Linked DNA regions of Mytilus edulis. The protein of the gene in region 1 purifies or fractionates together with the protein of each later gene. This does not show direct contact. Links are inferred from orthologs where the notes say so. Each region holds a gene or a part of one and is shown on either strand. Other genes may lie near its edges. The genes, in order: cytochrome b-c1 complex subunit Rieske, mitochondrial-like; complex III assembly factor LYRM7-like.

Region 1 (11,084 bases):
AAGGTTGCTTAACTTAACATTACTCACTTCCAACCATCAAATAGGAAAAGAGTTTCCTTTGTGGTTCTGATTGTACTTGAGATACATTAACATCTTTAGAACCTGATCTTTTATATGATGAGTAGTCTGGAAAATTTATATCTGTATGGGAATACCTTACTTGTTGTGGTCCTGAAAAAATAAAGATCAATATTAAAGTTTGTCAGACTTTAAAATCCAAAAGTCTCTCTATGTTTTTAACTATTGCTGTACTTTCAATGTAAATTGAGGCAGGTATAACCTGTGAACGACGAACAAGTCTGTTAGCTACAAAAATGTACCCATGGAAAAGAATTTTTTTTTTAATTAATAAAATCATTTTGATTCATTAAGACATGCTGACATGTATGGTGTACTTAACAAAACTTTTTTATAAAAAAAAAACCATTTTGTAAATAATTTAACGTCGATTTCTTCAATATGACAAAACAAGTTTGAATGGGATAGACAACCACACTGTCCAGAGTCCAAAGAATCAATAAGACAATATACAATAAAATAAAATTGAGAATGGAAATGGGTAATGTGTCAAAGAGACAACAACCCGACCAAATAAAAAACAACAGCAGAGGGTCACCAACAGGTCTTCAATGTAGCGAGAAATTCCTGCACCCGGAGGCGTCCTTCAGCTGGCCCCTAAACAAATATATACTAGTCCAGTGATAATGAACGCCACACTAATTTCCAAATTGTACACAAGAAACTAAAATTAAAATAATACAAGACTAACAAAGGCCAGAGGCTCCTGACTTGGGACAGGCGCAAAAATGAGGCGGGGTTAAACATGTTTGTGAGATCTCAACCCTCCCCCTATACCTCTAACCAATGTAGAAAAGTATACGCATAACAATACACACATTAAAATTCAGTTCAAGAGAAGTCCGAGTCTGATGTCAGAAGATGTAACCAAAGAAAATAAACAAAAATGAAAATAATACATAAATAACAACAGACTACTAGCAGTTAACTGACATGCCAGCTCCAGACTTCAATTAAACTGACTGAAAGATTATGATTTCATCATATGAACATCAGACACAATCCTTCCCGTTAGGGGTTTAGTATCATACCATCATAACATATATGAGAAGAACATAACCTGTGTCATGCCAACAACTGTTTTTAGAATAAATGTGTTTAGTTCCGATGCAAAGACCTTATCAGTGACTCAATATTAACGCCAAAATATGCAATCTTTAATGACTTGACAACAGTATCGTAATTATATCCCTTCTTAAAATAAGTCTATTCAAAGGTTTTGTAAGTTTCTGAGGTGAATACTGACACCTTTGTGCTTTATAAAGAATATTTCCATAAAAAATTGGATGTGAAATACCTGAACGTATTAGAAGTCTGCATGTTGAGCTATTTTACGAATGATGTCTTTATACCGATGATAAAATTTAGTAAATGTTTTGACTAGTTTGTGATATCGAAAACCCTGGTGTAATAATTTTTCAGTAATACATAAATTTCTCTCGTTAAAATCTAAAACATTGTTACATACACAAGCGAATTGTACAAGTTGAGATATATAAACACCGTAAGATGGTGACAAGGGAACGTCACCATCTAAAAACGGATAATTAACGATAGAAAATGAAAAATCATCCCTTTTATCATAAATTTTAGTATTCAGCTTTCCATTAGTGATAAAGATATCAAGATCGAGAAAATGGCAGTGGTCATTGTTAGTATTAGCTTTATTTAAAGTAAGTTCAACAGGATAAATCTCATTAATATACATACTGAAGTCGTCATTATTGAGAGCCAAAATATCATCCAAATATCTAAAAGTATTATTAAATTTGTTTATCAGATGTTGTTTCGATGGGTCTTTGCTTATTTTGTCATAAATTGTAACTCATAACAATACAAAAACAGGTCCGCAATAAGTGGTGCACAGTTGGTCCCCATTGGAATTCCGATAATCTGACGATATATGGAATCCCCAAAGCGAACAAAAATGTTATCTAGTAAAAATTCAAGGGCATATATAGTATCAAAGCATGTCTAATTAACATAGTTTTTTTGTTTATTGCTACTAAAAAATGACCTAAAAGAGTTTGAACATATATATTCACATTCTGATTTTTTGAATGCCCATTTAATTAGATGTGTGAATTTTTTCTTAATGAGAATGTGAGGCAATGTGGTATACAGGGTAGAAAAATCAAAACTTTGAGGCCACAATTAAAAATATTTCAGTTTGCCCAAACCCGACCCATGATGACTGGGTGTGGGTAGGTAGGTAGGCAAATTCTTTTTTTTTTTTTTGGTATCAGAATCTGCATGAAAATATTAAAAGATCTTAAAACAGTATATATTTTTTTCCGTCAAACCTTTGTAGAGAAAACCAAAAGCCATGAATTTAAAACCTCTATAAATAAATTAGTCTACTATATGATTTGTATCCTGAGATGTTTATAACACTGACAATTGCTAGCTGTGTGAAAGGGCTGGTGGATTTATGAAGTGATTTTCAACAGTTGCATCAACACGATGTTTGTGTAAAAAAAATATCAGCTGATTATACACGTAATGATTAAATTTGTTTGCAGTTTTTAAATCCTATTTCTATTTAAATAGATTAAATGTCCTAAAATATTTATATGAATTATTATCTACCATCCTTAGTTTGTGTCTTTTTTATGTTTTGAAAACAAATTTGTATTTACATTATCACACAGGTAAACTAATTTGGCTATAAATAGATCAAAGCATGTTCTGTAGAATCTCCAAACTAAAAACGTATTTGTTATAATTTTATTTCTTTAAAAAATCAAGTTTAAGTTTTTGAAAATAATCATTATTGATAAAATATAATTGCATAAAGTTAACGTTTTCTGAAGACTATTTATTTTTAGGTCATGGTTCTAGAGCCTTCCTCACAAATTTGTATAAAAATCCAATATGGCGTCCATAACATGTTTTTACTTTTGCACATGTGAAAAAAATATTTCTGTCAAAAGTCAGATTTCTCTTGTCAAAAGGGATTTATATTGCAATAAATTATTCAGAGGGAGTTACATTCAGTAAAGATTATATTTCTGATTCTGTGAACAATTATAGTTTTATCAAATTCTCCCAAACAGCAACGTACTGATCTTGTCTAATGAGACTTGTAAATTTGAACTATTTGAATAAAAGGGCATCTAATTTACAGATAAAGAAAGATTATAATTAAAGACAACAATTTATCAAGAAATAATTCCTTTTTATTCAGTAAAAACAAAATCTTCTTGCAAGATTGTAAATTCGCAACTTCCGGATCCATTTCCTGTCAGAATAACATTGAAAATATTCGATTGCACATGGTTTTGAACAAATCTACCTGAATATTCTTATCAGATATTCGATAACACGATGAAATTAACATTGAGCATATAGTTAAGGGTTTGGTAGTACAGACAACTACAGCGTTAAAAAAACTGTGCCTCTTCACATGTTTTACTTTTACGTTCGTTCAATCAGAAGATAAAAACAGAGAACATCGAATATCGATTAACTGCGTCTTTTAATCTTATTCACAGTTACTTTCAAACGCAAAGACGACAAACATTAAGGTTTGTACGATGACGGAGCGGACCCAAAAAAGATCCGAAAAAAAAAAAATTCTTCAAAAAAACGTCAAAAAAAGAATTTGAGTCGGCGGGTTTATTTTGGGTCGGTCGCGTTTGGGCAAACATACAATCTTTTTATTTTGGCCTGAACAGATTCAAAATCACCAATATAAGCATGCAATTTATCAAGTACTTCCAACGAGTTCTTAACACTCCAAAAGTAATTTATTCCACTATTTTCGAAGGCCTTATTTGAACAATTTATTATAAGGTTTTTAATTGTACCAAGTGTGCTGGTAAGAAGAATAGACAATTTAGTAGTTGAACAATGGCTTGAAGACGAAATAAATCTATATTTGTAAGGGGTTTTGTGTAGCTTCGGAAGCCAATACATAGTTGGGACTTTCATTGTATTTGGCTCTGCTTGTAAAGCGGTGGCTAAAAGTTTATGTTTGTTACAAATTTTGTTTTCTGAAAATGGAGTCAGTTGGAATGTTGGTGAATTGGTGATTTCCTTTTTCAGAACCTCAATGTAAAATTTACGTCAAACAATAATAATATTATGGGGACGAAGTCCCCAATAACAGTAGAAAATTCAATAAAAAAAAAAAAAATCGGGAAAATTTCCCGAATTTTTCATTGTACTAATGAACTCAAAATCGTTCAAATCTTTTTTTGTCGCCTTTTTGAAATCCCGGACCTGCGCAGAAATGTACAATGTACTTCCTTTTTCCGGTCTCGTTTGTATGAAACTTTGAGTAAAATATATATTTATCAGTAGTATAAAATAGGAAGGAACGCGCAATACCAATTTCATTTTTAATAATTCCTTGATATGAAAAAACTTTACCTGATGACAGCGTTTCTTTGTTTACATTGCACATGACGTCATAATTTAAATAACATCACAACTACAATCCCTAACAACAGAACCAAAATCGGAAACGTTACGGTATTTCCGGTTTTTTTTTTTAACAAATATTTAAGTTACAAAAAAATAATTCATACAGACTTCGTCCCCATTTACAGGTAATGCCTGCCTCATATTATTAGCAGCTTTATCGGCTGGGACAAAAACACATTCCTTGGCTAGTTCTTTTAGTTTATGTTTGATACGAGAAAACCAAGACAACGGAAGTTTACAACTGTGAGTCATTTCTCAATAAAACTGGTTAGGTTCCTTGCATTATATTAAAGTTATTTAATTTCTTTTATAGAAAAGTGCCTGAGAATAATTTATGGGCCAGCTATTAAATAAACTGTATGCCTCGCATTATCTGATTATCAGCATGTTAAAATTGTTATGTCAGACTTATGTACAAAATGTATTGAAATAGTATTTGTGAGAGCATCAATTTCTATAATTAAACAAATAATTAAATATAAAAAGAAACAAAAATATCAGAATTGTGTGTGCAACGATCAATGTACTTACTACACCAGTTACTTGAAATTTTGACTGCAGACTTCGGTGCCAACTTATGTAACGTATAAGACGATTTCTTATCGTGTTGGGACGGTTTTAATGACACAACTTCTGGTGCCAGTGAAGCTGAAGGTAGAATCGGTCTTGTTATTTTCCCTATCATTTGTGAAACTGCTGGCATAGCAGCGGATTTAGGTAGGGAATACATATCCCAAAATTTTGTCCAAAATTCAAGGTGACCGGAAGAGAATTTATTTCGGTAGTTGCTCTCGTATATATCCGAAAATTAACAACTAACAATCTATTTTGGTGTCTTATATAAACAGTATTTACTTTTATTCAAATCTAAGTGTAATTAATCAACCTTATTTCGACACATAATAAATAAAAATTCAAAATATATTTTACGACATGAGTTTTTGGGTAGAGTAAAATGAATATAAATCCGACTGAGGATTAAAAACACAAAAAAGTCCCGGAACATCATATTCCGGGAATGAACAATTCATCGACAACACAATACAACACATCTAAATCTGATTATACACTAACGGTTACTATGTGTGATATGAAATCATTTTGCAATAAAAGCCTTACCATGTGTCCTTCTTTCCATTCCATCCTCTTTTCTTTTTCCCAGATCTTTCCAAACAGCTCATACAGCATTTGAGTTGAAGTTTAAATGTCTGCTTTCTTTATTTCTTCTGAAGTCGATGGTCTTTTACAGTCCATTGCCAAAAGCTCTTCCGAAGGTTGAATGCCAGCTTTATTTACAGGTGGGTCCTGGTTTAGCACATCCTTGAAATGCCCCACCCATCTTTTCATTTGCTCTTCATGTGTGCATGACGAGTGTTTTCCCTTCTTTGCTTTTGACTGGTCTACTTCCTTTCTGGCATTTCCCCGTTAGCAGTTTTGTCATACAGAGCTTTGATGTTGTTTGCTCTAGCTGCTTCTTCTACTCTGCTGTCAGGTTTTCTACAAATGCCCTCTTATCTCTCCTTGCACTGTTCCTGACATCCTTGTTAGCTATAGTTGATATACTCTTCAAGTTCTGATATGCTAATTGTTTTGCTGATCTTGTTTTGCTGTTGTTCAGGATATTTTTATTTTTTATTTTTCCATTCTTCCACTTTTACATGTGTTTCTGGCGTTATCCATTCCTTGTGTTTTCTATTTTTTAAACCACCTGATGTTTCGCTAGCTGTCGTGATAGCTTTTTGAATTACTTGCCAGTGATCTTCTATTGAAACTGTTTCCTCTATTGCATTCTTGGAGCGATTTTTTGGAATTCTGGAACATTTGGAACTCTATTTGGAATTCCGATTTCTTTTTTGCCAACATTGATATTTTAAACCGTTTCCTATTGATTCAATATTTTGGTGTTTCTTTAGCTTCAATTTGACTTTTGCTATAATAAGATGGTGGTCAGTGTCAGCGTCGGCTACTCTTTTAACTTGGACATATTGTAAACTACTCCTAAACTTCTTGAAGATGCAGACATGGTTTATTCGATTTTCAGTGTTCATGACTGGAGATATCCATGTTGCTAGATGACATTTTTGTGTGGGGGAAAACTGTTCCACCAATGGCCAGATTGTGATTTGCACAGTGGTTGACAAAAAAATCTCCATTCTCATTCATTTCTCCTAGCCCATGTCTTCCCATCACTTGTTCATAACTGGTGTTGTCACTTCCTATCTTAGCATTTGGGTCTCCCATTAAGATGGTGATGTCTTTGGAGCTACATTTCCTGGTGGTTTCTTCAAGCAATCGATAGAATCCTTCCTTGATGTCGTCCTTTGCGCCATTTGTAGGGGAATAGCATTGGATGATGTTTAATGATATATCCTTTTATGTGTGGTCTTGAATTTTGCCATGATGATTCTGGCACTTATTGGCTCCCAGCCAATTAATGTTTTCTGAGCTTTTTTTGACAGAATAATGGCAACTCCTTCAGAATGTTGGGTGTTCTCTTCCATATGTCCAGAGTATATAATCACTTCTCCTAATGTTAGTTTTGATTGTCCTGCATCATTCCATCTTGCATCAGCTATTCCTAGTAAACCTATTTCATATGCCTTCATTTCATTGGCGATGGTTTGTGCTTTTCCTGGAACGTACATAGATCTCACGTTTCATGTTCCTATCTTTGTTGCGGATTTAGAGTTCAGAAGTCTCAGTTGTGTAGCTTCCTTTCGGTTTTGGCCATCCAACGTCATTCTCCTTCTATGTAAAGGTCTTCTTTCTCTTTCATCCAAGGTTCGTAAATTTTCGTTTCGTGTTTCTGTAATCCGCTTTCACCTCCAAGCAGGACATTAGCCTACCTTAAGGTTCCAGGTGGGTTTTTAAAGGCATCTTGCATGCAGCTTTCCACATACGAGTCACTGGCCGGTGGGGAATTGTTTGCCCTCCTACGCCCTTTGTCGTTGTCGCTTGACAGCAATCTTCCACCGGGGCAGTGATCTCCCCACTATTTGTCCAAAAGCTGGAGTGGTTGTCTTGAAAGGACTAACGCCGTGATGGTTACCACAACCTGTGATTTGAAATCAGAGTTTTCCTTCTACTAGACAGGCTGCCTACCTAGGCTCACAAGACCCATCTTCCCGTCGCCCTTGTAGTTTTGCCTAAGGCCTTTTGGTGCTCAGTATTCATCTGTTACCACGGAAAGGAACTAATGATAGGACTTGATGTGGAGAGGCTATGTACTGACAGGGAGAGACTGACTAACTGCTTACCTTTTTACATTTCTGTTAGCAAGCGGCGCTGAAAGCGAGAGATGACAAGGCGAAGCACACAGATAAAAAAAAACACAGAACACTAGACGCATCACACAACATTTATCACACAGAATATCTCATACAGTTTATACGATATCTTTAATACTTTATGAGCAATATCTTCTTTTAAAAGTTTAAAAGATACCTTATAAAGTATAGAACAGAACAGAACAGAACATATTTTATTTCCAATTAAGGGCCCACAAGGGGCATACAGAGCATACATGAATAAGGAAAAAGAATATTAATTTGATAGATACATACAATGTAGATACAAACATTATTTTACATACAGTAACAATACAATTACTAACTCATATTCACTTTAATAAATTTACCAACAGCATTAAGGACCTGATTGTCTTCACAGTTTAATAAATAAATAAATTTATGCTGATTATCCAGTAAAGAAAAATTTGGAATTCTTTGGCAAACAAAGTCAAAGAGAGCATCTCTATCTGATTTAGAATTTTCACAGTTAGTTAAAAAATGGATTTCATCTTCAACACAGCCAGAGGAGCATTTTTTGCAAATTCTTTCATTTCGTGGAATATTTGAAAAACGTCCAACTTCAATTTGAAGCTTATGAGCAGAAATACGTAATTTGCATATAGATCTTCTTAAATCAAAGTCCTTTATTAAAGAAAGATAATTTTCATAACCAAAATTCTGCTTAAATTTCACATAATTAAACAGTTTTCCATCAGAAGCTTTATTTTGGCTAGCATACCAATTGCTAATATATTTAGTGTGAATTAATTTGCTAGATATGTTCAAAAATTTATATTGTCCAAAATGTTTTACTTCTGGTTTAATTTCAAAAACTTCTAATACTTTCTTAGCAAATGAGTACCAAGAAGTTATGTTAGATTTGTGAAGCTCTTGGCTGCATTTATAAGCATCTTTCAATAGACTGAATTCAGTTGTAAGATTTTCAAATCTATACCAGTATTTTACAATTGACTTTACAATATCATAATGTAAGGGGAAACGCCCCAGTTCTGATAATACAGCAAAATTGACACTCCTTTTGTGTACACCAAGTATAAACTTAGAAAATTTAAGATGGAGATTCTCACACTTAAGATTTTTAAAAATATTTTCAAGATTAAATAAGGAAGACTGTAATTTATTACAAGAAACATTATAACCTCCCCATACCTCTGAATTATATAACAGAATGGGTTTAAGGGTATGATCAAAAATATGAACACAAGATTTTATTCCAGGAGACAAATTGATAAAATCCTTTCTAAGTTTATAGTAGGCCTTAAGAGCCTTATTATAAAGTTCAGTTTTAGCTAGATGAAAACTTCCAGATGCAGTAAAGTGAACACCCAAATATTTGTAATGAGCGACACAGTCAATCAAGTTATTCTGCAGTCGAAAATTCGCTTGAATTTTCCTTCCAGCCTTATTAAAAATTATGACTTTAGTCTTTTTAATATTAACTTTAAGGCACCAGTCAGCACAATATTTTTCTAGCTGATCAAGTCTACTTTGAAGCCCTGTGGCTGATGTTGACATAATCACAATATCATCTGCATACATCAAACAATTTAATTTCTCGGAGTGCAGGGAAACTGCATCCAGGCAGGAGTCAAGATAAGATATATGATATACTAGTATCTTATAAATATTTTTATATAAGATAGCTAGTATAATTTCTGAGATATCTTATATAGTTTATATGATATAGTTTTTTGTAATAATATAATTTACCGGCATATTTCTTCCATTTTACCTATCCTTTGAAGTTTTTACACCTCAAAATCATAAAACGGCGAAATTGTGTCCCTGGCGAATATGAGCGCCCACTTTATGTCTCTGCAAATCGTGATTGAAGAATAAATTTGGTTCGAATTTCGAAAACTGATTTCACAATTCTTTTCAAAATGGTCCAAGTATTCTTAAAATTGATTTATTTTTTTTGGTCCGAAATATCCTAATCTCGCTTCGAAATGTCCGCGACTGAATCTTTGTTTGCTAAATACTTTACCCATTTGCAAAGCACGACGGGAAATCGGGAAATTTAAACATGGAGGTTTGTATTTCAAATTTTCAAATATCCGATACTCTTACTTGATGTTTAATTCTTTGACTTTGGGTTTCTTATGTAGTACTTTAGTCATGTTAATGATGATTATTACCAATAAAGGAAGCCAAAACTTATATTGCATTTGATATACTTAAAGCACTTGAGCCACTTTCACTTTAGCGTCCCCACGCACCTGACTGTGAGGCTGACAAGGTTGTAAACAAATCTGCCGAAGTATTTTTTTGCTTATTTTCTTTAGAAATATTATATGCTTCCAGTTACACCAGTCATAACCATACTAAATGGGCGTGTGGGACAATTATATTATTCAAGACATTCCAAATACTATATATAACGTCATGAACAGGTTGTGCTTGTGGCTGTGGATAAACACCCACTTGGGTCATTGTTATTGACATTATGCATAGTATACCTGAATTGTCAATTTTCAGTTCTGCAATTCATCTACATTGTTGTTTAATGCTATGATGACCAGAGTCTGTCCAAATAATTAGGAAGTCTGGCAAGGCTATTTTTTTTCTCAATTAAACCTTCCTACGACAGTCACATGTATGATGTCATGAAGCTGAAGCTATATTTTACTTCTGGACTTTGAGAATGAATTTGGGGGGGAAATTTGAGACACAATTTAAGGTTGAAATCTTCATAGTGGGCCAGAAATTTTTGCAAGGTACATGTAACCATGGAAGTATTATATTGACAGGAACTACTACGACCAGACTTCAAACGTTTCATCTGTGATGCCGCGCGCAATTTAATGACATGTTAATTAGCTTGAAACATGGCACGTTATTTTCATACCAGCGTGTGGTGACCTACAATATTGTCATTATCGGTTGCTTTCGGGATTACAGAAATAAACGAAGAAATCGAATGTTGTGATAAATTCTTAGGAAACAGCAATCGGCAAACCTCGGCAGATTCCGCTACCTTACATCTGCATATGTGTGCCGATTGAGTGATTGATAGATTAATTCGACACATCATTAATTCTATAGAAAAACACATTGACGATGGAAATTTGTACCAAATTTATTGAATAAATGCCCCATTTTTATTGATTTATTTTTCGGTAGAAATTGGACTAATAGTATATGTAATATATATCGCAAGTTGTGATTATATAATAACTACTGTTAACTCCACTGAGTGGCACACATTTCCTGCATATTTAAGACGATTGTAAATGATCGTTCTGATAAAATCAAAAGATCAAAGAG
Region 2 (11,186 bases), on another chromosome or scaffold:
CTGGAAGCGTCATTTTTCAATCTTTCTAGGACCAGATAACTCCAGAACCGTAAAAGTCAAAATCATAAATATTGAACTTGACCTCCATTTTGTTGTCAGTAACAGCATATTAAAATTTGAAAAGCTTTGGTTGAACGGTTCATGAGTAAATGCACAGACAACATTTGGCTGCCCCTGTCCGACTGGCCGCCCGGCCATACATCCCCAAATCAATAACCGACACTTTTTTCACAAAAATCTGGTTAATAAAGCTTATATCTTAAATCCCTTTTTTCAGTTGATTGTTTTTGGCTGATGGTGACAAATTAGGTCACGTCACCATCTAAAAATGGATATTTTAAAACAATAGGAAATGATAAATCATCTCTTTTATCATACATTTTGTGTAAATTTGGGTATTAAGTTTCCTGTTAAAGATAAAGATATAAAAGATCCAAGAAAGGGCAGTGTTCGTTGTTAGTATTAAATTTATTTAAAGTCAGTTCAATTGGATAAATCTCTTTAGTGTGCTTACTGAAGTCGTCAATATTGAGAGTCAATGTATATATAGTCATGATCATCCAAATGTATCTGAAAGTGATATTAAATTTTTGTATTCGATATTGTTTGGATTGGTCTTGCTGATTTTGGTCATAAATTATATCTCATAACAATACAGAAACAGGTTTGCAATAGGCGGTACACAGTTAGTTGGAATTCTGATAACTTGATGATATACAATGATTTACGAAATCTCCACATATAGCACACACAAATATTATGGAGTAAAAATTCAAACGCAGTTATAGTATCAAAGCAGGCCCAATTGACATAGTTCTTTTGTTTGTAAATTACAATTTGTTGTAACTAAAAAATTACCTCAAAGAGTTTGTCCATAGATAGCGCATTCTGACATTATAAATGCGCATTCTGACATTATAAATGCGCATTCTGACATTATAAATGCACATCTAATTAAGTGTGAGAATATGAAGACTGTAGAATGAAATTGTTAATAAAACTACTTAAGCAGTAAGATCACAGGGTTACTTATTATGCACAAATTGTAAAACTTAAAAAAAAAGACAACATATAATAGAATTAATTGCATCAAGATATGATTTAACATGAAATATGGTATCTGAAAGAATAAGTTGGTTTACAGTACTTTCTAACAATAAATATTCTACCTTGTTTGTAAAACTTTTTGACTTTCTACACTCTGCAGGTAAGACTGTTTGAGTAAACGTTCCTGTAACTCTAATCTTTGACTATGTGATATAATACCAAACTTGTGAACAATTGGAATCTTTGTAATCGGCATGGTTTTGATTTACAGTTTCTGGAAAAAATAAGATAACAAACATATTTTTAAATCAATATTCATTTGGTTTTAATCAAATCAAATCAAATATTTTATTGTCGTATAAACTTTACATGCAGTTTGTGACGAACATATATTAACACAATGAACACAATAAACATATATACGTTCATATCAAACATACACAATAAAAACAGATTCAAAATTTATAAATACAAATAAGCTCAGGGATCTCCATGGATGAAAATTGAACGATGGAGGAACTTTCACCATCATAAACCGTATCTACGCTGTACAGCGTAGCGCGATCAACAATGTTTCATCCCTCCATGACTTTATCTAGCAAATCGATGCTATGCAACATGCATCTTTCAAGTCGGAATAGAAACCGGAAACGCTGATGTATCAATTTAATTGTAAACTACGAAATGAATTCGGAATTACGATACGATATTTATTTACAGGAAATATTAAAAGTTTTTACTTTTTAACTTTTAAAGTAATTCTATATTATCGTTACAATACAGCAATACTCGAGTTATTTTCGATGAAATAATAATTACTGTTTTACGTTTCATGTTGATATTTCTTTTTACTTAAAAGTTTAGTTCTTCATGTTTTTGGGTGCTTTTACAGTACCAGTTTAACATGTTTAAAGCTATGACCATTTCTTTCAAAAAACTCTGAGACAATACTTTGGATTTAACAATCTAAAGGTTTAAGTGCTGGGTAAAAATTGCAGGATAAAAACAATATATATGTATAAAATACAGAATGAATTTGTACTCGCTAGGAAACTGCAGAAAAGGCTCAATGAACCTGCCCTGGCTTTTCATCCTGAATTTAAAGTTCATACAAATTGATTTCATATTTTTCTAATACAATGTTTGTTTCATGTCTGTCCTATTTGTTTTTTTTACATAAATTGTCTATGTTCATGATGGTAGCAATACACAGTTAGGAGTATATTTTTGCATTTTGGTCCCGGTGAATTTTTCAAATAGGAACATTATTGTGTAATAAAATTCATTTTTAGGCAGCTGAGTGCTAATTTAGCCTTCAAAGATGGTTTATAAGAGCATCAAGATTATTTTTTACATGATTTAAGGGCTATTTTATTTTTGACAATCTGTATTTTCATAGCAAGACTGGCCATCGGTCCAGAAATTAATGTAATGTTTACAAACACTTTTTTCTACACGAAGTTTTTGACGCAATTTTACAAAAAAAACGAGACGAAAGACCAAGGATTTGTATTTTCATTGGATTTGCTGAATGATATATGTACACAGTTTCAGAATTTTAAGGTATTATCTCTAGCAATTGAAATTCTACTTTTAGCCAAATTTTGGGGAAATATGTGACATCTTTTCCCCCCTTTTTGTAATATTTTATAACACATAAATGCAGATTAGGCCAAATAAAAAAGTATGTGTGGTTCCAGTTACATCTGAAAAAAAGTTAGGGTAGGTAGGTAGGGATTTTTTTTTATTTTATGTTTTTTTTTACATTGAGTCTATGGGAGCAACATTCTGACTTTAACAGTGCTTAATGAAAAATGACAATAAAACCTTTAGGGTAGGCTATTTTTCAGCCGAAAAAGTAGGGACGGTACGTAGGGTTACTGGAACCACACATATATTTTTATTTGGCCTTATTGCCATGGATACACCCAAAAGAAATTATATTTTACCATTTATTATTAATACTTGAGCTTTTTAAGAGATGTTTTTTGCGGTAATATTCTACATAAATAATGTATCAAGCCACATCATTTGAAATTAATTTATTCAGTAAAATTATCAGCATGATTGATCATTCATCAATATTGCTTTATCAGGTCAGGAATAACCACCAATTGGTGGATTATACCTCAGGCCACAATTAAAAATATTTTGGTTTGCCCAACCCCTACCCAAATGTTGAGACAATGGGTAGGTAAGTAGGCATTTTCTTTTTTTTCTTCAAAAAAACAAAATTGAAGTATCGGGTGTTTATTAGTCTTCATGCCTTTCTGATTAAAAAAAAACTTCTTCAAATCAGGACAATAAAAGAATTTGAGTAGGCAGCTTTTTTCTGAGTAGGTAGGGTTTGGGCAAACAAACCTATTCTTTTTTATGGCCTCAATTGATGTATAATCCACCAAATTGGCACCAATTGATGTATAATGCAAGTTTTTTGTAATTAAATGCTAGTGTGAGATAGGAGCATGATTTTGCAACTTGCAACCTATTTCATGACCCTTATCGAGTCCTACGAAAGTTTCAGTTTTGTCTAAGCCTGCTGCATCTCTTGAGAATGCATGTGTACAACAATTCTTTTGTTGAAACATTTGTGCTATTGACCATGATTGACTTTTGATAATGAAAGTTAAGTATTTAACAAAGAGCCCCATTCACCTTTTGAGTTGTACTCATGATCACATGACTGCAGACAGTAATGATGTCCATTGACAGGTGATTACAGGTAAATTTGCCAATCAAGAATTGACAAGATAACAAAAGAAGAAACTTCAAATAAATGCAATATGTTATGTTACAATACTAAACTAGTAATGTTTGACAAGTTTTCATACCAATATGGTTTTAAGAAAACAATGCTCCATTTTGGTGGAATAATTTGGTATCGGGACTGTTCGCCCTAATAACATGTTCGCTCTAGGTCCGTTCGCTCTGAGTTCGTTCGCCCATAGAGTCCTTTGTCCTACTATAAAAATATCAATATTCAGGGCATTGAAGTTGAATAAACTTATTCAGATATTTCTATGGTATATATATCATGTATATTCTTGAAATTTATGAAAACATTGAAATATTTAAAAGTTTATGGCTTGTTTAGGATCATTAATTGTTCAATGACAAAATAATTCGGATCACTGATTATTGTGATACTTGTCTTTTGATGGATTAATAATAAAAACAAACGTTTTGTTTAGATAAAATATTCAGCTTGAAATCAATAAAAACAATGATGTACAAACTATAAATTATGAAACCGACTTACATGTTCATTTATTTATACTCTAAGACTAGTCATACTGCATACATTCGTGATTGACTGAATTTCGGGGGGGGCCACTTCAAACTTTTTTGGGTAGGGGTGAGCAGCTGAGACATCAAGTACCCCACCCTTTTCATATATTTCGTTTATCAAAAATATATACCTTGCCATATATTAATGAACACAAAACAGACCTATAGATATATTTGGATATTTTTCATCTTCTTGTACATTAGAGTTTACAAAAATTTTGAGGTCCCGCTCATTTTACGTTTTTGTTTAGATGCAACGCAGTCGCAATAATTACACCTTGCTTTCCCAATAAATTCTTCACTCCTCTATTTGCCCCTTTTATTATGAAGAAATTTCAATTTGAAAAGACAATACATATTGTTTTATCAGATAAATGTAGTAACACTTCAGATAGTATCACTTTTACTGAGTTTACATTAATTAAAAACTGATTTGTCGTTCCCTCTTGAAGGATGCTAACACTATGCTATGGAATTTCTTCAAATGTTTCATGTATGCAATCCTTTCAATGTTAATTAGGTGGAAATGTCAAAATGATTGGATTTATTGCATCTATTTCTAACCTCAGTGGAAATACCACATTGAATAAATAGAGTTTAATTGGTTTGACAAATAGCTGATGCATTTACAACTGAGTTTTAACCGCATCAAAAATAAATACGAACATTTGATTAGTTTTAGATACTTATAATATATATCCAGCAAGTGATAATTTCAACCTATTGATATATTTAATCTGAATTTCTCACCCTTTTCACTTTTCATATATCATGAAGCATGAAATAGTGACCTATTCCAGCGGCTCATCCCTACCAGTCATTACATAGGAAGTGCCCCCCCCCCCCCCCCCCCGAGGACTGAATACAATTATTTTGTTAACAAAATATCAATAAAAATAAATAAATTCCAGTATTCTACTCTGCAAATCAAAGGGAAAATGATAAATTGATTGCGGCAATATAAATATTCTGTCAACTTTTCAACAAACTTTAACATAATTTGTTCAAATACTTAAAACAATGCGACTAGACAACAATTTGAAAGAAAGAAAAAATATCAGGGCGAATGGACCCTGAGCGAACAGGTATCAGGACGAACAGGTACTAGGGCGAACATAAATCAGGGCGAACAGACCCAGATTCGAATAATTTGTTTTGAAAAACAAAGAATTATACACCAATTGTTCTATACCATTATATGTCAATTGGTGGATTATACGTCAATTGAGGTATAATCCACCAATTGGTGGTTATTCCTGACCTGTTTATATGCAAGAAACCATTGATTTTGACTTCGCCCAAGTGTAAGGACCTAAGAGCTACGGTTCCGCAGCTAAGATCAGGTCGGCTTCTCATGCTTGTCGACCGTCATCGTTTCAAAAGATTGCCGTTTTTGATAATGTACATCGTTTATTAATAAATCTTCTGTGTTAACTAGATGTTAGGAGTAACTGAAACTCATAAGACCTACAAATAAACGTGATTTTGTATAGAAAACTGATCCAGCTTCATACGTTTCCCTCCATGATGTTTGTTTCCATAGAACTACTTCCGGTTTTAATCCTGTACAAGGAAAACTCCAAAGAGATAAAAAAAAAAATCCCTTTGGGAGTCTTCTAGAGTTTTCTTCGAAAAATGTCAATTAGGAGCAAGGTAATGCAGACAAGTCAATGTCAAAAGTTTTGTTTAAAGTAGAATTCACAAATAACCTAAGGTCTCCAAATAGAATTAATACACTACATTTAAGACAAAACAAAGCACATAATAAACTATAGACAATATGTAAGCTTACTTTCCACTGTGCTTTTATTTTAATAAGTTTTATTCCGGGTCTGGCAAGGCTATTTTAATTTCGTCCTAGAAAAAATTAACATTGTAGGAAGGTGTCTCAGAAAGTCCCAGAAAAATAAAAAATAGCCTTGCCAATGACGTCATAATTATTTGGACTAGGTAAAACCGTTTTCCCATTAACATCAGAGCAATGACGTATAATTAACATATAACAGGATAGCTATTATTTGAACTTGGAATTATTTTTAATTATGGAATTCGCATAATTTCTTGTGTTTAATTTTTTTTATAAATTCCATGTTTATTTTGTATTATAACACTTTCCATGCAATGCATTTTGGTTAGATAGTGTTGTGCGCGGCACAGTACATTCTATTGAAAATATACTATTTTCTTTGTGATAGAAAGTGTTGTACGCAGCACAGAACATTTCAGTACAGAACAATCATGGAATTTATGAAAAATTTCAATAACAAGAAATCAAGCAAATTCCATAGTTAAAAATAATTCAAAGTTCAAATAATAGACTGTTAATTATACATCCTTGATCAGAGCTTTTGCTTAATATCTTCAAACATTTTGAACAATTGTATATTGGTACATGTTTACCTTTCATTTTTGTTGAGCCTTTGACTTTAGTTGAAAAAGCGAGACATAGTGATCCTACATTCTGTTGTTGTCATAGTCGTCTGCAATGGCGTCCATAAATATTATAATAATAATAATAAATTCTTTATTTAAAGAGGGTAACTCAATTAGAACTAGTCTAATTTTCATTGAGGCCCTCAAAAAAAAATACATGCATACAGTTAACATTCATACATTAAAATACAATATATATTACAATATATATTACTAGTATACACAATTCAATTATTGAAATATACAAATGGTAATAAATGGCAATATTTGATCAAGTTTTGTTAAAGGAATAAAAATTATTTGACTTGCATATATAATTTTCAAGAAAATTATTATAACAATGTTTCTTGAACATGTTGAATAATTCCACATCACAACATTTTTTTATTTAGAGTGGTAAATTATTTCATACTTTGGTTGCAGAATAGTGAAAAGATTTTTTTTTTAAATTTTGTATTTGGTGTTGGAACAAAAAGATCATGATTAAAGACAGATCGAAAGTTGTGGTGTTGCACATCATCAATATTTGGAATTTGCTAAGTAATCAAGTGTTAGTCCATTTACAATTTTATACATTATAATTGATTGTTGGTATTTTATTCTTTTGGTAAAAGATAGCCATTTTAAAGATGAAAACATGAAATTAGATGGAATAGAAATATCGCATTCCAGTATAATTCTTGCTACTCTTTTTTGAAGTTTTATCAGTTTATGATTGAATCATTCTATCTGAATCTTTTTGTAATAAATTTCCCTAAACTGAACTACAATAGTCTTTATATGGTAGAATATATATGCATTATAAAATAGTTGCCTTGTGTGTATTGGCAAATATACTTTAATTTTATATAAAAGTGATATTTTAGATGAGATAATCTTACGTATATCCTCTGGGTGCAGGAATTTCTCGTTGCATTGAAGACCTGTTGGTAACTTTCTGCTGTTGTCTGCTCTATGGTCAATGATGGTTGGGTTGTTGTCTCTTTGGCACATTCCCCCTTTCCATTCTCAATTTTATTTTATTTTTTTGATATACGATCAACATGATCTTCCCAGCTTAAATTTTCATCAATGTCAATTCCAAGTAATTTGAAAGAATGGACATTCTCAATACATGTTTTGTTGACAGAAATACCTAATTCTGATTAGTTGTGTAAGTTTTTGTTTTGAACCCAATTTCATACACTTAGTTTTTTTTGCATTGATTTTCATACTGTTAATGTTACACCATGATTGTATAGCATTTAAATCATTTTGCAATATGTTGTTTATTTTTTCAGTGTTTTTATCATGAAAATGCAATGTTATATATTATTCACTCTCAGTGTGGTTAAAGTTTTTGAAATTTTAATAACTTTCTTAAAACATGTTAAACTATCCTGGATTTGTACCAAACTTGGACAGAAGAAAATCCACTGATGCTGATTGCATCCCAACTGATGGAAATGACATTTCTGATTCTGAATTTACCGAAAATCTTAAAAAATGACACCTATAAATTCGAAATCTATAATATACTGATAGCAAGATAAAACAAAAAATTATTATAGGCAACTGAAAAATGAACTATATATAGATTTCTCATATTACTCATCAGGCTTCAATTATTACGAACAAAACGAAAAGTTCATCTAATATTTTTTTTCTAAAACAATATATCTTTGTTCTTTATTTTTTAAAGACACCTTGTTTGCCAAGCTTACTTGTATCAGGTTTTAACCATCACTAATCACTCCTAATTATTAAAGATCAAACGACCAAATCAACATTATAATTGGTATTCAAAATAATCATCAGTCATGTCTGACATGTTTCATAAAAACGGTGCGTGCCTATGAAAAATGAAATAACTTCTTAAATATTAAATTGATTTTATCAAAACCAAAATTATAAGATGAAGACTTAAATTAACTATCGAATGCATACCGTCACCACTCACTAAAACATATATTTCATGTCCTGAGTGGACTTTGAATGTCCTGAGTGCACTAGTGGCTGCATGTTTTTAAGGGATTTGCCTGAGTTGCCAATCTCTTGTATTACATACATGTATATGTATCTGTCATCATCAATCATGATTATTGGCTAGATCCTGTACGTCTAAACACCGCTCAGGGCTTATATTGTTGATAGTGAAAGTGACAAAGACGTAAACGAGAGACCCACCAACAAAAACAATTGACAATATTTCATACATAGATGGATCTTGTGTCCTCAAAGCAACAAAAAGTCTATAAAAAACACAACATTGAAGTGGGATCGGAGGTCATACATCAACCTGTTAAAATAGAACAATAGATTAGAATCAAAGCTCTTTTTTTTTTCTTTTTCTTTCTTTTTTTTAAGTTTTCCTAAAACTTGGAAATATGCTAATAAATATTTATAGTATAACTAATCGCCGTATTTGAATATAAAAAATAAGACAACGCGTGACCGAACGACGCATGGTTTAAACGAGTGCGCAGCACGAGTTTAATCCATAGCGGCGTTCGGTCACAAGTTGTCTTATTTTTGATATTCAAATACGGCGATTAGTTATTCTTTTTATTACATTGGCAAATGTCTTTTTTTTATGAAATTAATGTAGAAAATGTAAGGAACTATATCTTTTTCCTACGCATTGACAATTTGTTTTGATCCGACGTTATCGACGTCTTGACAACGCCTTTTGTTGTATGACGTCAGAGAGTGAAATAATTCGTAAATATAACTCAACATGCAGACATCTTATACGTTCAGGTATTTCACATCCAAAATTTTATGGAAATATTCTTTATAAAGCACAAAAATGTCAGTATTCTCCTCAGAAACTAACAAAACCTTTAAATAGACTTATTAAAAGGGGATATAGTTACGATACTGTTGTCAGGTCATTAAAGATTGCATATTTTGGCTTTAACATTGATTCACTGATAGGGTCTTTGCATCGGAACTAAACACATTTATTTCTAAAAAAACAGTTGTTGGCATGACACGGGTTATGTTCTTCTCATATATTTTATGATAGTATGATACGAAACCCCTAACGGGAGGGATTGTACCTGATATTCATATGATGAAGACATAATCTTTCAATCAGTTTAATTGAGGTCTGGAGCTGGCATGTCAGTTAACTGCTAGTAGTCTGTTGTTATTTATGTATTATTGTCATTTTATTTATTTTCTTTTGTTACATCTTTTGACATCGGACTCGGACTTCTCTTAAACTGAATTTTAATGTGCGTATTGTTATTCTTTTACTTTTCTACATTGGCTAGAGGTATAGGGGGAGGGTTGAGATCTCATAAACATGTTTAACCCCGCCGCAATTTTGCGCCTGTCCCAAGTCAGGAGCCTCTGGCCTTTGTTAGTCTTGTATGATTTTAAATTTTAGTTTCTTGTGTATAATTCGGAGTTTAGTATGACGTCCATTATCACTGTACTATTATGCATATTTTAGGGGCCAGCTGAAGGACACCTACGGGTGCGGGAATTCTCGCTACATTGAAGACCCATTGGTTGCCTTCGGCTGTTGTTTGCTCTATGGTCGGATGGTTGTCGCTTTGACATATTCACCATTTCCTTTCTCAATTTTACGTTTATTTCACATGTGAAATTATCGGTTTTTATTTAACTGGGAAATCAATGTAATTCATTGCAACCAATGTAATAAATAATTTTATGGGGCAATAATACTTCCAAATGTTGTTTCATGAAAATAAGACTTTTGTAAAATTTGATGCAATAATGTGGGTTTTTTTTTAAGTTATCAACAAATGTGACGATTTTTTTCTTTAATAATTGATACCCAAAGCCAGTTGTGCTGGAACTATAAAATTTATAGTTACAATTTGTAGAAGGGTTTGTGATACACTGAAAGTTTAAATGATTAATACAAGTCTTTGGAATGGCAAACAATAAAGAGATCTAGTACAAAACTTAGCATGAAGAAATATTTGATGTGAAACAATTCATACTTGGTTATATAATTATCTTTATTTAGGAGTTCAAGTTAGTATAGATCAACAGTCCATTACCTGTCTTTTCTTAGAGTGAACTTTTGGATTTTGATAATGATGGTTTATGCATGACCAGTGACTTTTTTAAGGAGGGTCATTCACTTCAAAATTTGAATGGTCCTATATATCCAAATTCCCATATATACATTTTTTACCAAACAAGAATTGATTAATACGTCATTTCTGAAATCATGTCTTTCACTGGAAAAGATTATCAATTTTGCACTCCTTAGTGACTTCATTTACCAGATAGAACATGCAGAATGGCATCAGGGGCTGCAATTTTAAAAGTTTCTAGCACTTTCATAATCATCAATCTGTAGGGTAGTATAGAAATAAGTACATAATCTTGATTCACATACGACGGAGGGTGGGTGACCATCTTTAAGATTTTAATTTCCCAAACATTTTGCGCAGTAT

What was found.
Region 2: the proteins of cytochrome b-c1 complex subunit Rieske, mitochondrial-like (region 1) and complex III assembly factor LYRM7-like purify together in Homo sapiens (co-immunoprecipitation; 5 studies listed by BioGRID and IntAct, with this or other methods). This does not show direct contact. The link is inferred for Mytilus edulis from reciprocal best matches to the Homo sapiens genes UQCRFS1 and LYRM7.

The regions. Positions count from the first base shown.
Region 1 is NC_092348.1:54,905,122-54,916,205, reverse strand, and holds the start of cytochrome b-c1 complex subunit Rieske, mitochondrial-like, read right to left. Parts: upstream 5,296-11,084; 5' UTR 5,237-5,295; coding exon 5,038-5,236; intron 172-5,037; coding exon 28-171; intron 1-27. Other genes in the region: chromobox protein homolog 2-like, read left to right, coding at 9,844-9,849.
Region 2 is NC_092351.1:69,224,731-69,235,916, reverse strand, and holds the start of complex III assembly factor LYRM7-like, read left to right. Parts: upstream 1-5,881; 5' UTR 5,882-5,970; coding exon 5,971-5,988; intron 5,989-10,784; exon of another isoform or gene 10,785-10,802; intron 10,803-11,186. Other genes in the region: transmembrane protein 232-like, read right to left, coding at 1,170-1,303.